Drosophila melanogaster: one gene and its partner. The protein of the gene in region 1 interacts with the protein of each later gene in a biochemical or structural test. Each region holds a gene or a part of one and is shown in the gene's direction. Other genes may lie near its edges.

Region 1 (8,150 bases):
CAGAAAACAGTATTTAATAGGTAATATATCAATGGTATGCAGTGATAACATCGTGTGAACAGATAATTTGTAAATGTGAAAACAAATAAAATGGCTTATGAATTGAAAATAGTAACCAAGATGAATATTACTTATATCATTTCTGCTTCTTCACTGCGGTCATTGAAGATGAAAGTATTTTCATACGACCCTTGATCTTTCATTTCAATGACCATTTAAGACATTTCAACTATTAACTACGCTTATCGATTGCCAATTACCAATTATATGAATATATTGCCATTGAATTGCCAAGACTGTGTCTATATCGTAATCTATTTAACCGATAATCGGTAATTTAGATTCACAATCTAACAATAATTAACTTTTTAATACTAATTCCGAGATTGCCATTAGATGTTAAAGCCGTCCGCATCCAGATGGGTAGGCGATGATGCTTGCGTAGGACTTATATGCTTCTGAATTAGGGAGTTCTTTCCATCGTAAGCAAAGAAACAATTGGTTGCGTTGCTAGTAGCTCTCTTTTGAGGTTGTTTACCCATCTGCATTAGAAGTTCGTCGATCCGTTCCGTTTTCAATTTAATAATACTCTCCATGTGGGTCAATCGCTGTTGATAGGCATCGATAATAACATCTTTTGCATGACTATCACGTTCCACTTTCTCGTACAGCGAATATAGGATCATTTTCTGCGGCACCTGAACTATGCCATCGCCGATCTGTTTGTTAACCACAACAGTTTTTATCTCATCATTTTCCTCCCAAAGTTGTTCCTGCCGCAATGCCGCATTTCGTTGTTCTGCAAGGCGTTGTCGTTTCTCCAATCGTATCACTTCATGCAACATGACTTCGGCGGCACCACTAACACCATTCGCCATTTGCTCCATAAAATCTTTAGTCAACGTCATATTTAACTTGGATAACACTTTAAAGTTGAATGTCTCCCAATTGGCCAACTTCAGCTGAACACTACTCTTCTTCGGATAATTGAAGAGATCCACCAAGCGCGGATAATCGCGTTTGAATATTTCGGCCAGCGGCAAAACATCGGAAAACTCGCGACGCAATCTTTGAGTGCTAATACTATTTTGTTGCATCCATTTGTTAACTTCCTCTAACTCTTCGCGGCTCAGATTCTTGCCACTCACGATATGCATCCTTGGTGATAATGATATGATATGCAATAGCAAAATCAATTTGTAAATATGGTCTCGGCTTTATTGTTGTGTGGGTATACACATATTAAAATATCCGATGTGTCTGAGTTTGAGTCTGAATCGGCTAAAAGATTCAACTACAGTGAGTGCAAATCCAAAGCATCCTTTGGGTAGGAATCTTAAATATGGGATAGTACGGTAAAAGCTATTATATTGGGGCATTATTAATACCCCTTTTATTCTTATTTTGAGTCTTGGAAAATTCCCATTCAAAGTCTTCTATGCTTTCGTATTTATAAGTTTCTGTATGATTTGTTTGCCGACAACACCGTAGATTCAATCCCTACTTTTTGGCCTACACTGCACTGGAGTATAATACTTTTCAGTATACACGTATTATTGTATCTTATAATTTAGATCATCAGTTATCTGTTATACTACTTACCGATGTTATACTAATACAATTAATGTATAACAGCAAATCGCGTTCAAGAACACAAGTTTGCTATTTGTAAGCACTGTAAAATGTAATGTAGAAAAGTTTATGTAAAGTATATTACGATTTAAATGCGATTTACTTGTATAGCTTATAGTTAAAAAATTCTACCATGTTAATTATATTCATATCAAATAAAAAGAAATTAAGATAAAAAAAACCTTTGTTGATTGGTATTTAAAATAATTAACTACTGAAAAATCGATTCATTCACTTAGGAACCAACTTTCGCTACCAGCTCATGAATTTCCCAACTTCAATAAAATCCCTGGTGAAAGCTTTGGGACAGACCTTTCTTTCCCCAACTAGGGGAGATGTCCCGAGCAGTGTTGAGTATCCGTATGGACTCAACAGAAATCCCCTTTGAGTGACTCACTCACTGGATTCGAGTGTGCAGACAAGCTTTCGCTCATTTGTGTTCGGCTTTTCATTTGAACGCTTGGAATGGAGTCCAAAGTTTTTGCCAACGACAGTTCATTACGGTTTTCAAGGATAAGCGATACCTACGTGCTCGCCGGATAGAGCGCATGTGAATATAACGCACCAAAGTACATCTGCGTATTTCCTACCGTCTTTATAACATAGTTTGAGTAAATTATCTTTTTTTCAGTGTGTACACAAATGTGTTAATAATAAAATCAAGTATAAACTTCTGTATGCCTGGATAAAGTAATATTTTTTTGTGCATTTTTTTTGTTGTTGTTGTTGCTAACTCAATGTGCCAGTGTATTTTTTTTGTACAAATGTGACTTGTGCCAACAGAGCAAGGGATTTACTAATCGCCGCAATTCCAATCAGGTATCTTGAATGGTAGACAACACAACACATCGCTGCACATGGTAAGTGAAATAGGGATAGAAAAAACGGCTGTCAAACTGCATGAATATTTAAGGGACCAATTAACTGCTGAGCTTAATCAAAAATTCCAGTAAAAAGTTAATCAAATAATATAAATAATTTAATTTAATATAAATTTGTGAAGTTCCAACTAGTATTCGAAAAATGAGACTATTACGTTTCGTTAGCTTTTTATAAATGAATGAATCCGCCATGGGCAAAAAAAAAAATATTAATCTTGCTGCCACAGATATATCATTTTCGATGGGTGTATAGACAGGAAGCTTAGATTATGGTAGAGGAGACGAACTCAAAACGAAATAAGAAAAAATGCCGCTGGCAAGTGTCCCAAAAAGCAAATTCCACGCTACTCACTGGTCTGCTACCAAATATATTGAATCGTTTTTTTATAATTGACAAAATATAATATCCACCGCAAAACAAATTCATTTTTCAACACCTTTAAGTTCGTTTTTGTTTCACAATAATATTTTGTTTTACGTTATTTTAAATTCCAAATTCCACAAGCCAAACACATATGCGCTTTTCATGGCCAGCAATTTTAAAAAGCTTAAAAATTTTAAAAATTATTCATACTTCATACTAAAACCGGGTCGTGTCGCACGGCGCATTTTTTCGTTATTGTATTTGTTTTGTTTTGCATGCCTTGAGCCAAGAATTAATAGTCAGTCCTCCTCCATTATTTGAATAGTTCAGTCCCATGGGCCTAGAGATGCGCTGATCAAACCATTGTTCGAGAGCCTTTAACGTCCCCCTCATAACCTTCTAAGCAAAATCTATAGCCTGCCCCATTAAACTGGGTCACACAGATTCACAATATCTTCAATTTTTACTGCGCTTTAATAAAAATGAACATAGAGTATCAGGCTTTAAGATGTTTTGGTTAGTTTATTGGGCTTATACATAAGTGCTTTTTTGTTATCCATCGGCCACTTGGCAAAACCAACACAAGAAAAGAAATAAAAAAATAGTAGTGACATAAAAATGTGAGAGCAGATTTTTGTACATATAAATGTATCAAGTGTTGTGTCCCGAAGCTCAAGCATTAGGTCACTTTTTCCCAAACTTTTAAATGACTAACATAAAACACTGCAGACAAACCAAAGTTCAAAGTAATTTGTTTGCATTTATTATAATAGTTGTAAGAGTAAGAACAAAGAAATCATTTTCCCTGCAATTAATTCACTTATTCTTGATATGCATCAGCATCCTTGTGGGTAGAAACTCTTGAGCAAATGATTTTCCTTGAATACTTTACTACGTTCTCTTGCAGTAATTTAAATGGTAAAGAAAAGAGGGAAATATACGCTGAGCCATCGACAAGATTCAGTGCCAGAAAGCAGCTGAGTTTTCTCGGAACTAAGATGAAGGTTACTGATTTCTCTCGAGCACATTCCGTAAGTCACGTCGCCCCGTGCAAAGGATGAGGCTTCCGAAAGGATATAGGACACTATCACCAGCATCGAACGCTGCCCAGACGCTACCACTCTCCTACAATTCACAAACCAGTCTGAGCCTTCTTCGGCTGCTCACAATTGCTCTGGTGATTGGATCGCAAGTTCAAGTTCTATGTAAGTGTAGCCCTTAAGTTTCCCTTAACTTTGTTTGCAAAACAGCATTTAAATAACCCCGAAGCCTTTGTTATGACTCCTTTTCCCATGTTTTGTGCTCTTTACTTATCAAGGTAGCATCAGTTAGGGGAAGTTCAATTATTCTTAATGGACCGGGTTTTCTTAGAAACTTACAACGGATATTTAAACATCAAACTTTCTAATTCGGACAATTTGGTAGAAAACTGGGTATATAATACACTTTTCATTCATTTGCGGCTAGTAAAATCTGAAATATTTTGTCATGGGAAGCAAATATTGAAAATATGTGTGTTAAGTTAAATGGAAAAAAGAAAATAAGAAACTATACCATAAAGTCTTGGGCATCCAACGAATAAAACTTTGTAAAAAGTTGTGGCTTAAAAATAATACTACAGATTTACGTCTATAACTACAGAGTACGAATTTAATATTATTCAGTATATAGTTAGGACCTTTATTTCTACCAACCCTACTATATTTTTACCTATTTAACAACGTAACCAAGGTTGTAATTAGTCCTAAGCCCATGAATATAGCATATTTGAATAAAGCCAATGGGGTAATTTAAAAATGGTTAGATATTTCTGAGGAGCTGAGCTCTTGTTTAAATATATTTTTTCTTGCATTCTTCACCTTTTCAATTCAGACACGACATCCGTCGAAACAAAATCCCCCTCCGCAAGTGAACAATCCAGAAACGGCGAGAATCGTTCATTACTTTTTGATGACTATAATAAAACTAAATCGACATTATCAACTGCTGATTACCTGTCAGCCACAAGGGCAACCCTTTACGCGTTTTCATCGCAGGATCAGGACGAGGACCATTCCCAAATGCCAATCGAGGCGTCTAACGCTCCGCACAGCCCCATTCCCACGAAAATGAGTCGGGGTAAAATACCCATGGAGACACCGGGCAGCATGGAGTTTAGCAGCAATAGCCTTCCAATCAAAAATGTAGGGACAACTGATCAGCTGACGACTGTGACCATGCCCACCACAGCATTCGCATCCCTAAAAGTCGACAGAAGTACCATGAAACAGCCAATTGATTCCACACGCACGAGGAATCATTGGACAGCAAGTGGTAAGTGGGATAGCTTTGGTATTATGCAGAACAGCATATAGCAATTGTACAAAAGTACGTGTATGAAAGTTTTTAGCAAAGTTTTCATCGTAAATATTGCATTTTTGGCAACAGCCATTTGATCGAAACAAAATTAATAAATGTCTAAACATGGATTGCCATAACACGTCAGACTCGTTATGAAATTTCAAATCGACTGGCATTCAAGTTTAAAAATTAAATTTTTTGACTTTTTTTTGGTAATTTTGATAAATTTTCCGAAATTTTTTTCTAAATCCGGCAAACAGTATTATGTTTTGGCATGGCTAAAAACCTGCATAACACAGTTGTTTCATTAGCTGTATAATAAATTTAAGCCGAATACGGATTAAAATAAATCACGGAAATATCGAATTCTTGCATAAAGTATTTTCCAGATTTTCGCTACACTTTTTCTGATCAAAACATTGAAAATAATAATAATAATATGGAATGTCATAACTTCTAATTTAATTTTAAATTTTTAAAAATGCGTAATTTTTTGGATTTTTTACCTTAAAAAACGAGGAAATTAAAAGATAAATATTTTTAAATTGGTGATTATAAATAATGATTGTTACCGTTGGAAAAAGGTGGTTTAAAATATAAAATGAGGCATCTTCAAAGAAAACGAACGGATGTACATAAATACATACATATGTATATATGACATTCTTCAAAATGAATGCGGCAACCCCTACGTGTACTACGTGCATACATACATATGTATGTATGTAGTATATATGTATATTCTTAATTTCGATTTAATTTTTCGGAAACTTTTTTAAATCTTGGCAGGATTCGCACGTGTCACAGAACGACCACGTAGCAAGCACCACCACGAGCACCACTGGGGACCCTTTTTTGAGGAGCCCATCAACTCGGCAACCTCGGGTGACAACCTCGTTTCCGCCGTACATTTGTTTACGGAAGCGGTGCTCAATTGCCGTGTCGGTATGCTCAAGGATAAAACTGTAAGTGAACGCCATTTTGATATGTACGCAGATTCATATGTACATACCTTCGTACGTACATACCCATACATACATATACATGCATACATGCACGTAAATAAATATCTATTGTTCTGCACAGTTAATTGATTTCACAAATGATGAAACAACCGAAATAATTGGAAATAAATTAGCTCTCACTACCTATGTGTTCACGGATTTTATTTACTTTATTTACTGTTTTACTTTATAAGACAAAACAAAAAGCAAGTTTTTAAGCCATTAAACCCCTTTTTTGAATAAATATAATTTAGTTACTATTCAATTTGATTGCCTTTCTTAATATGTTTACATCAAACATACAATGTATGTATGTATGCATATGGCAACAAAAAACACCCACCGCCACCACCATTGCATTGAAACTCATTTGTGTATGAGTACTTTTTTACGGATGTGTGTGTGTGCAATATCGGTAAACCAATAAACGCACAAAAATTTGCCCATTTAACCATAAATATTATATTTATTACATACTCATTACACAGGCCTGCAAGTACTCACTTATTATCATTTTACCTAATTGTTGGCACTTTTAGGAGCAACGAAATGTACAAAAACTGATTTAATTTAATTGTTTCGCGGCAGCCATTTTCTTTACCGATGCTCGCAAAATATGACAATGAAATGAGAGAGAATAAGAAGAAGCCGATGAGAGAGCCTATTTTCTTTTCAGCTATTCTCATAATTCGATCCTCCCGTTTGTTTTTGTTAAACCGATAGTCGTGAGAGAGCGCTTTGAGAGAGATAAATGTGTAACGTGTTTTACCGTTTCGACTATTTTCTTTTACTTATCATATGTACGAACATACATATGTACATATATGCCCAATCTTGCGGTTACTTTAAATAAGATTTTGAATTTCCAACTTCCAGGTCATGTGGGTCAGGCGAACGGCAGAGAAGGTATCGCTCCTGACCGTTGGCAACGTGACCTACAGTGGAGACCCGAGAATTCGGGTGAAGTTCCAGTACCCGAACAATTGGCGATTACTTATCAATCCCACGCAGACTGAAGATGCCGGAGTTTACATGTGCCAGGTTTCCACCCATCCCCCCCGGGTATTCACCACAAATCTCACTGTCTTGGGTATGGATACCACCAATTCTAACCTTATAACGAATCCTACATGGCAAGTTTTCCGCTTTCAGAACCCCCCCTGAGGATAATCGATGAGCACGAGAGGGACGTGGGGGATCGTTATTATAAGTCTGGAAGCACCGTCGATCTACAATGCCAAATATCGCGTAGCTTTTTCCAAAAAGAACGTCAGACCATTCTAAAATCAACCGATTCTGCAAACGATGCTGTACAGAAACTAATCAATGAGACGACTAGTGAGCTTAATCTAATTGGCAACGTAAATCAGACGCAACACAAGTTCTCTGGCCAGGATCTGGAGAAATACTTCACCAAGTTTATAACCTGGGCAAAGGACGAAGAACCACTGCAAGGAATGACCAATAGGCGCTTAAGGTAGATTACAAACGATGCAAGTCGGAATTCCTATATACTGTGTCCTGTGTATTGCAGCGTTTCCGATGTTTGGCTAACCAGTCGTATCTCCATTGGAGATGCCAAACTATCCGATAGTGGCAACTATTCCTGTTCCCTTGGCAGACTGTTCACCGTAATTGTCCAAGTTCAAGTGCTCACAGGTAATTAATTAGTGATTGAAGTTTCGTGAAAATCATTTCCCTGATATGTTATATATATCTTTACAGGCGAACTACCCGCAGCTGTTCAGCACAATATTGGTTCAAGAACCGAAATCTATTCCCTTGCGATGTTGGGTCATCTCCTTGTACTCATTTTCCTCTTCACTTGCCTGAAAACCGAAAATCGACATTTCTGAGGCTTTAATCTGAGAAGGGACTGCGGAAAACCCCATAGCCATTCGATTTTCACAAACAATTAACCAATAATAT
Region 2 (4,922 bases), on another chromosome or scaffold:
TCCATTTTGTTTAGCTCTGTCTACTTAAACTCGCATTGAACTGGAAGAATAACATTGAACAGCAAACAATCAGCAGTCAAAAATTTCATTGTTAAGGCGGCAGCGGGAAAAAATAGCAAAACAAGTAGAGGGGAAAAACAGGAAACTTTCGGACAAGGCGTGAAAAATACAAAAAGACTGGGAAAGAGAGAAAAAAACTTTTTCCATGGTGAGAAAAACTTTACAAAGCAGCCAACAAAGTGTTGTAATGGCTGGCATCCAAAGGGATCCCCCGTCCAACGCTTGACTTTTGACCCAACGAAGCGAATGTGTTGCAACGACCTTTGTGGCCTTTCCGCCTCCGCCTCCTCATTCGCCATCACCTAATCCACCCGCTCCACCCACTCTTCCTGTTTTGGTCACATCCTGGCGCAACAGTCGACCACGCCCACTCGCCGCCCTATCACCTCTGGGATTCCCCCCACAATGAACTTGCCAAGCGATGGTGCACGTTTCTCCTTGGGTGTGTGGTGTGTAGAGGAATCCCAGGGAGAGGGTCACAGAGCAGTCATCTTGTCTGCCGTCTAGCCTTGTCAGTTTTAATGTTTTTGGCATTGAGCGATGTCTGTGATTTGAAAGAGTTCATTAAGATAGTTCAGTATGGCCAACAGGGAGAATTCATCACTCTCATATCGCATACAATCCGTCTATATATAGACTAACTTTCAGACGGATATGCATCGTTTTTTTTTCCTTCTGCACAACTGACCAGTGCTTGTCGAGATGATTACAGTGCCCTTAAAACAAGGTCTAGTTAAAAAATAGCAAAACTTTTTTCGTGCACCTAATTTAATAGGATAAAATCATCATGAAATACTTCAAAAAATAAGTAACTAAAAATATTATCTGTCTAACCATTCAAAAATACCACTGTTAACTTTGAAAAGAACTTCTTAATTAACCGTCTACCAACTGACAACCAGCTTTGCTAGCTCAGTCAGTCATAAAACGCAATTATCACCCTCAATTAGATGGTCCTGCATCAGCGAAAATCGAATAAGCAACGCTTGCAAATTGAATATCTCAAATTAATTGCACTTTTTTCGCTCAACATACGCACATGGACTTGAAATGAAATGCAAATAAATTTAATTAACTTGTCTAATTAAATACTTGGCTCCAAATAGCAATATGCAGCAACCAACGGAAAGCAAAAATGTGTTTTGATTTTGTTTTCATTTTATCTTAATTCAATTATTATTAAAAGGGTACAGCTTCAGCCGGAACGAGCCAAAAAGGTTCGACGGCGGAATCGGCATGCAACTCGAACTTTGAGAGGTGATTTTGGGGCATGGTGTTGCAGGTTGGACTCTGTTAACATTTTTGTCGCGTGTTTTGCGGTCTGTTGTTGTGGTTGCGGTTGCACGCAAACAACAAGCCTCCGAACATAACAAGGATACCGGACATAACCAGCAACCGGCAGCAACAACTACCAATGAACAGCATCCAGCGTCCTTTGGTTGGCTTAAACCGAAGCTACACTTCGGCTCGCTCTGTCGGCCGTCGGCTCGTCCCCGCCTGTTATCACTCGGCCAACGCGGCGTATACGTAACAGCACTTCCCATTCGTTAGATTTTCCCTTATTGTTGTTGGTGGAAAGCCAGAGCCCGGCTCTGTGCGAGCATTAGGTTTCGTCGGCAAATCAGTTTCGCTACGGATTCTGCACGAAGCGGACGCGTTTTATCGGTGTTACACTGAAAGATCCCCGGCAAAGGGAAAGTCGTACTCAAGTGTCATGTGATCGATGCCAAATTAGAAGCACCTGACTCAATGTGATCGTGTTGAGAAATGACTTAAAAGTCGAGCTAAAAAACTTAGGTCCACTTGATTATAAAATTTAAAAAAATACCAAAACTTGTAAGCGTTTTATTGAAAGATTACAATTTGTAAAAGTGGTTGAAAACTTGGTATATCATACGTAACACAAAACTAACCTACAGAATTAAATATTCACAAAAATATTCTTGTAGTTACAGTATGTAAATTAATTATTTCAATACATGCAATTCATACTATTAAGGTCTTAAACAGAAGAACAATTTGATCATCGGAAAAGTCTTTTTTATTAATAATTCATAGAATAGAATAGAAACTTTATAAAAATATGGAATTTTAAATTTAACAAACTTTAGATATTATTTATAAATATCAGTGACAGAAGTATATTAAATCGAAAGTTCCAACAATTTTTAAAAGTGCGAGTGCCGGTTAGGATAAGTAATTATAAGCTATGTTAAAAATTGAAAATGCAATAAGGAGTTGGTTTAATGCGTTTGTTTCGTTACGCTATATATTATATTTATGTATAAAATCTTAATTACAATATATAATGTAAAAGGTTTATGTTTGGGACTGCAGATCATTCAAATGCAATTAAAGACTTCGATTTATCTTAGTGCGAGTATTTCAAATAACTGAACTCCATTTAATGGTTAACCACAGCTACAATCCAGACCACAAACTCACATGTCACTTGTCAGGCCCTCGAAATGGGTAAACAATTAACAGTTAACTCTGCTAATGCACATTTCATGCCAACAAAAAGTAAACAAACAGCGAGACTATCTCCAGGACCCTCGAAGTCCTTAAATCCCGAAAACTGGCAGACACGCACACAACGCCATTCTTCAATCTGTGAAAAATTCCCAAACAAACTTATATGCGAATAAATGAATCCACTAGAGTTCACTTTGGGACAACTCGCAAAAAAAATAGTCGAAGGGGAAATTTGTTGCGATTGATAAAGGACAGCAGTTGTTGCCACTGCAACGCAATGCACAACACACAAACACAACCGAAAACAGCAAGGCAAATATAAACAAAGAATTTAGCTTAAAAATACATTAACCCACTGCATCCATGAGAATCAGGATATGCAGGGAAAAGGGCCAGGACCCGACTGCCAACTGCTGAAAACTTGCATACTTAATGGAGTAGGAGATAGAGACAGACAACGCAGAGAGTACAGTGGGGCCTATGTGTTACTGGACACAACTGTATTCCAAATGCAGAATAAGTCTTTGAGTATGAATATTGTCAAAGCTCATTGTAAACGTTTCTTAGCATTTTGTTACAATTTATTAAAAAAAAAAAATATTAAAGAGAAATATTTAATTACAGTATACAACATTGGAAACTAATAGAAATTGTTGTAAAAATACTTTACATAATTTATTCAATATACCAAGACTTAGAATGGATCCACCACTAATATCAATATATCGGTTCTTATGGTCCAAATATTTTAATTCCATTTAATATATAATTAAGATTTAAATTATTTCATATTTATAACATATGTGAAATGATTCATTTTGTTGGGTATCCACTGTACAATGGTATGTTTTGCATTCAGGCATCATTGCAGATCAATGGCAATATGGAGCTGATACAGTTTGAGTAAGACACGTAAACACACAGAGCAGAAGAAGGATGGGAAACTCATGGATGTCAGCTGTTTCAGAACTTTTTTCAAAAGCTAGTGAAGAGAGGGCTTATTGGTTCTTTATTTATTTCCATCTTTTTTGAATTCTTTTTTGAGTTCAGCTTTGTTGCGTTTTGTTTGCTCGAGTTCGGTTTGACGTTTGCAGTTACAGGAACTTTACAAATTGTGTAGAGTAAAACAAACAAAATAGCAAAACTTTGATGCTGCTGATGATGATGTCGAAAATATGTGTGAGCTTTGATCATAAGTGCATATTTATTGGTGCGTTTATTTGGTAAATTTAGTTTCTATATTGCACTTCTGAAAATATAATAGAGTACTTTATCCAGATAAAATCAGAGTTAAATTGAGTCTAGTTAAGCTTGTATTATCCGAATAAATAGTAACGTGAACTAACGAATTTTCGATAAGGGAGAGATGTAAGTCCTTAAATAAAACCAAATTAAATCGGAATTTTATTTTCATGTATTTGTATTGTTTGCTGCCAAAATATAAGTGATAGGTAACAGGCACAACCTTTCTAGCTTGCTTCTTCTTTGAAGAACCTTTTAATGTAAATAAATTCGGCCATAGGTAAACATATCTTAATTCAATTTCGGCCTCCTTTGTGCTGCTTTCTTTTCTCCCTTCAATTACCACAAAACCATGAAGGTTAAAAGCTGTCAGGCATTTATAGAAGCTTAGGAGAAATCCCCTGAGAGCTAGGAACATTTTTTTTGGGCTAATGACTATGTCAGGATTAATTTACGTTTACACAGAATCTTTTAAAAAGAAAATTTAAACACCCAATAAAAAATATTATAATGGCTATGAACTTAGTCAGCATAAACAAATAAATGTTATTGTCTCTTTCATCTACGCACCCGTTTAGTTAAGTCCCTTTAATCCCGCAACAATTATAAGCCAATTTGTTTTACCAAAAAGTTATCATTATAAAAACAGCAAAAACCAAACAAACACTAAATAGCCCCATTAAAATTTAATTTCCTAGCATAAAAATACAAGAAAAACACATTCGGAACAAGTTTCTCCCTCAACAATTTATTAATTTAATTACAAACACTTTGCCAAACTCATAAAAAAGTGCATAAAATTTGTTGGACTTCTTGTTCTTGTTTCTGATGGTAAATCTGTTTCGGTCCATACCAAAAAAGCTTTATCATGTGTGCGTGGTTTTTGGGGGAAGAGGTGGAGTCAAAATTGCTTAATTTCATAAGCGAGTCATAAGGGAAAAAGTTTTGTCTCTGTGTAAGTGTTTCGCAAGCTGCGTGTGGACCCCCTAAATAGCTGAAGGCGACACGCTCAAAAGCCATAAAAAATACAATTTTTAAGAGAAAGTTTTGAATGAGATGGCCAAGAAACAGCAACCAGAGTAGAGGACTGCGCGTGACACAACTATATTTCAAAGACCTATGAATTTAAACTACAATATCAGACA

Evidence for each region.
Region 2: the proteins of dpr18 (region 1) and DIP-zeta form a complex in vitro, tested with the Drosophila melanogaster proteins (one study listed by BioGRID).

Annotation. Positions count from the first base shown.
Region 1 is NC_004354.4:16,061,618-16,069,767, forward strand, and holds the start of dpr18 (defective proboscis extension response 18), read left to right. Parts: upstream 1-2,120; 5' UTR 2,121-2,201; intron 2,202-2,263; 5' UTR 2,264-2,492; intron 2,493-3,784; 5' UTR 3,785-3,934; coding exon 3,935-4,082; intron 4,083-4,749; coding exon 4,750-5,190; intron 5,191-6,006; coding exon 6,007-6,182; intron 6,183-7,097; coding exon 7,098-7,311; intron 7,312-7,373; coding exon 7,374-7,698; intron 7,699-7,755; coding exon 7,756-7,880; intron 7,881-7,946; coding exon 7,947-8,077; 3' UTR 8,078-8,150. Other genes in the region: Muc14A (mucin 14A), read left to right, coding at 1-58; CG12395 (uncharacterized protein), read right to left, coding at 393-1,157.
Region 2 is NT_033779.5:9,067,924-9,072,845, reverse strand, and holds the start of DIP-zeta (Dpr-interacting protein zeta), read left to right. Parts: upstream 1-1,681; 5' UTR 1,682-2,014; intron 2,015-4,922.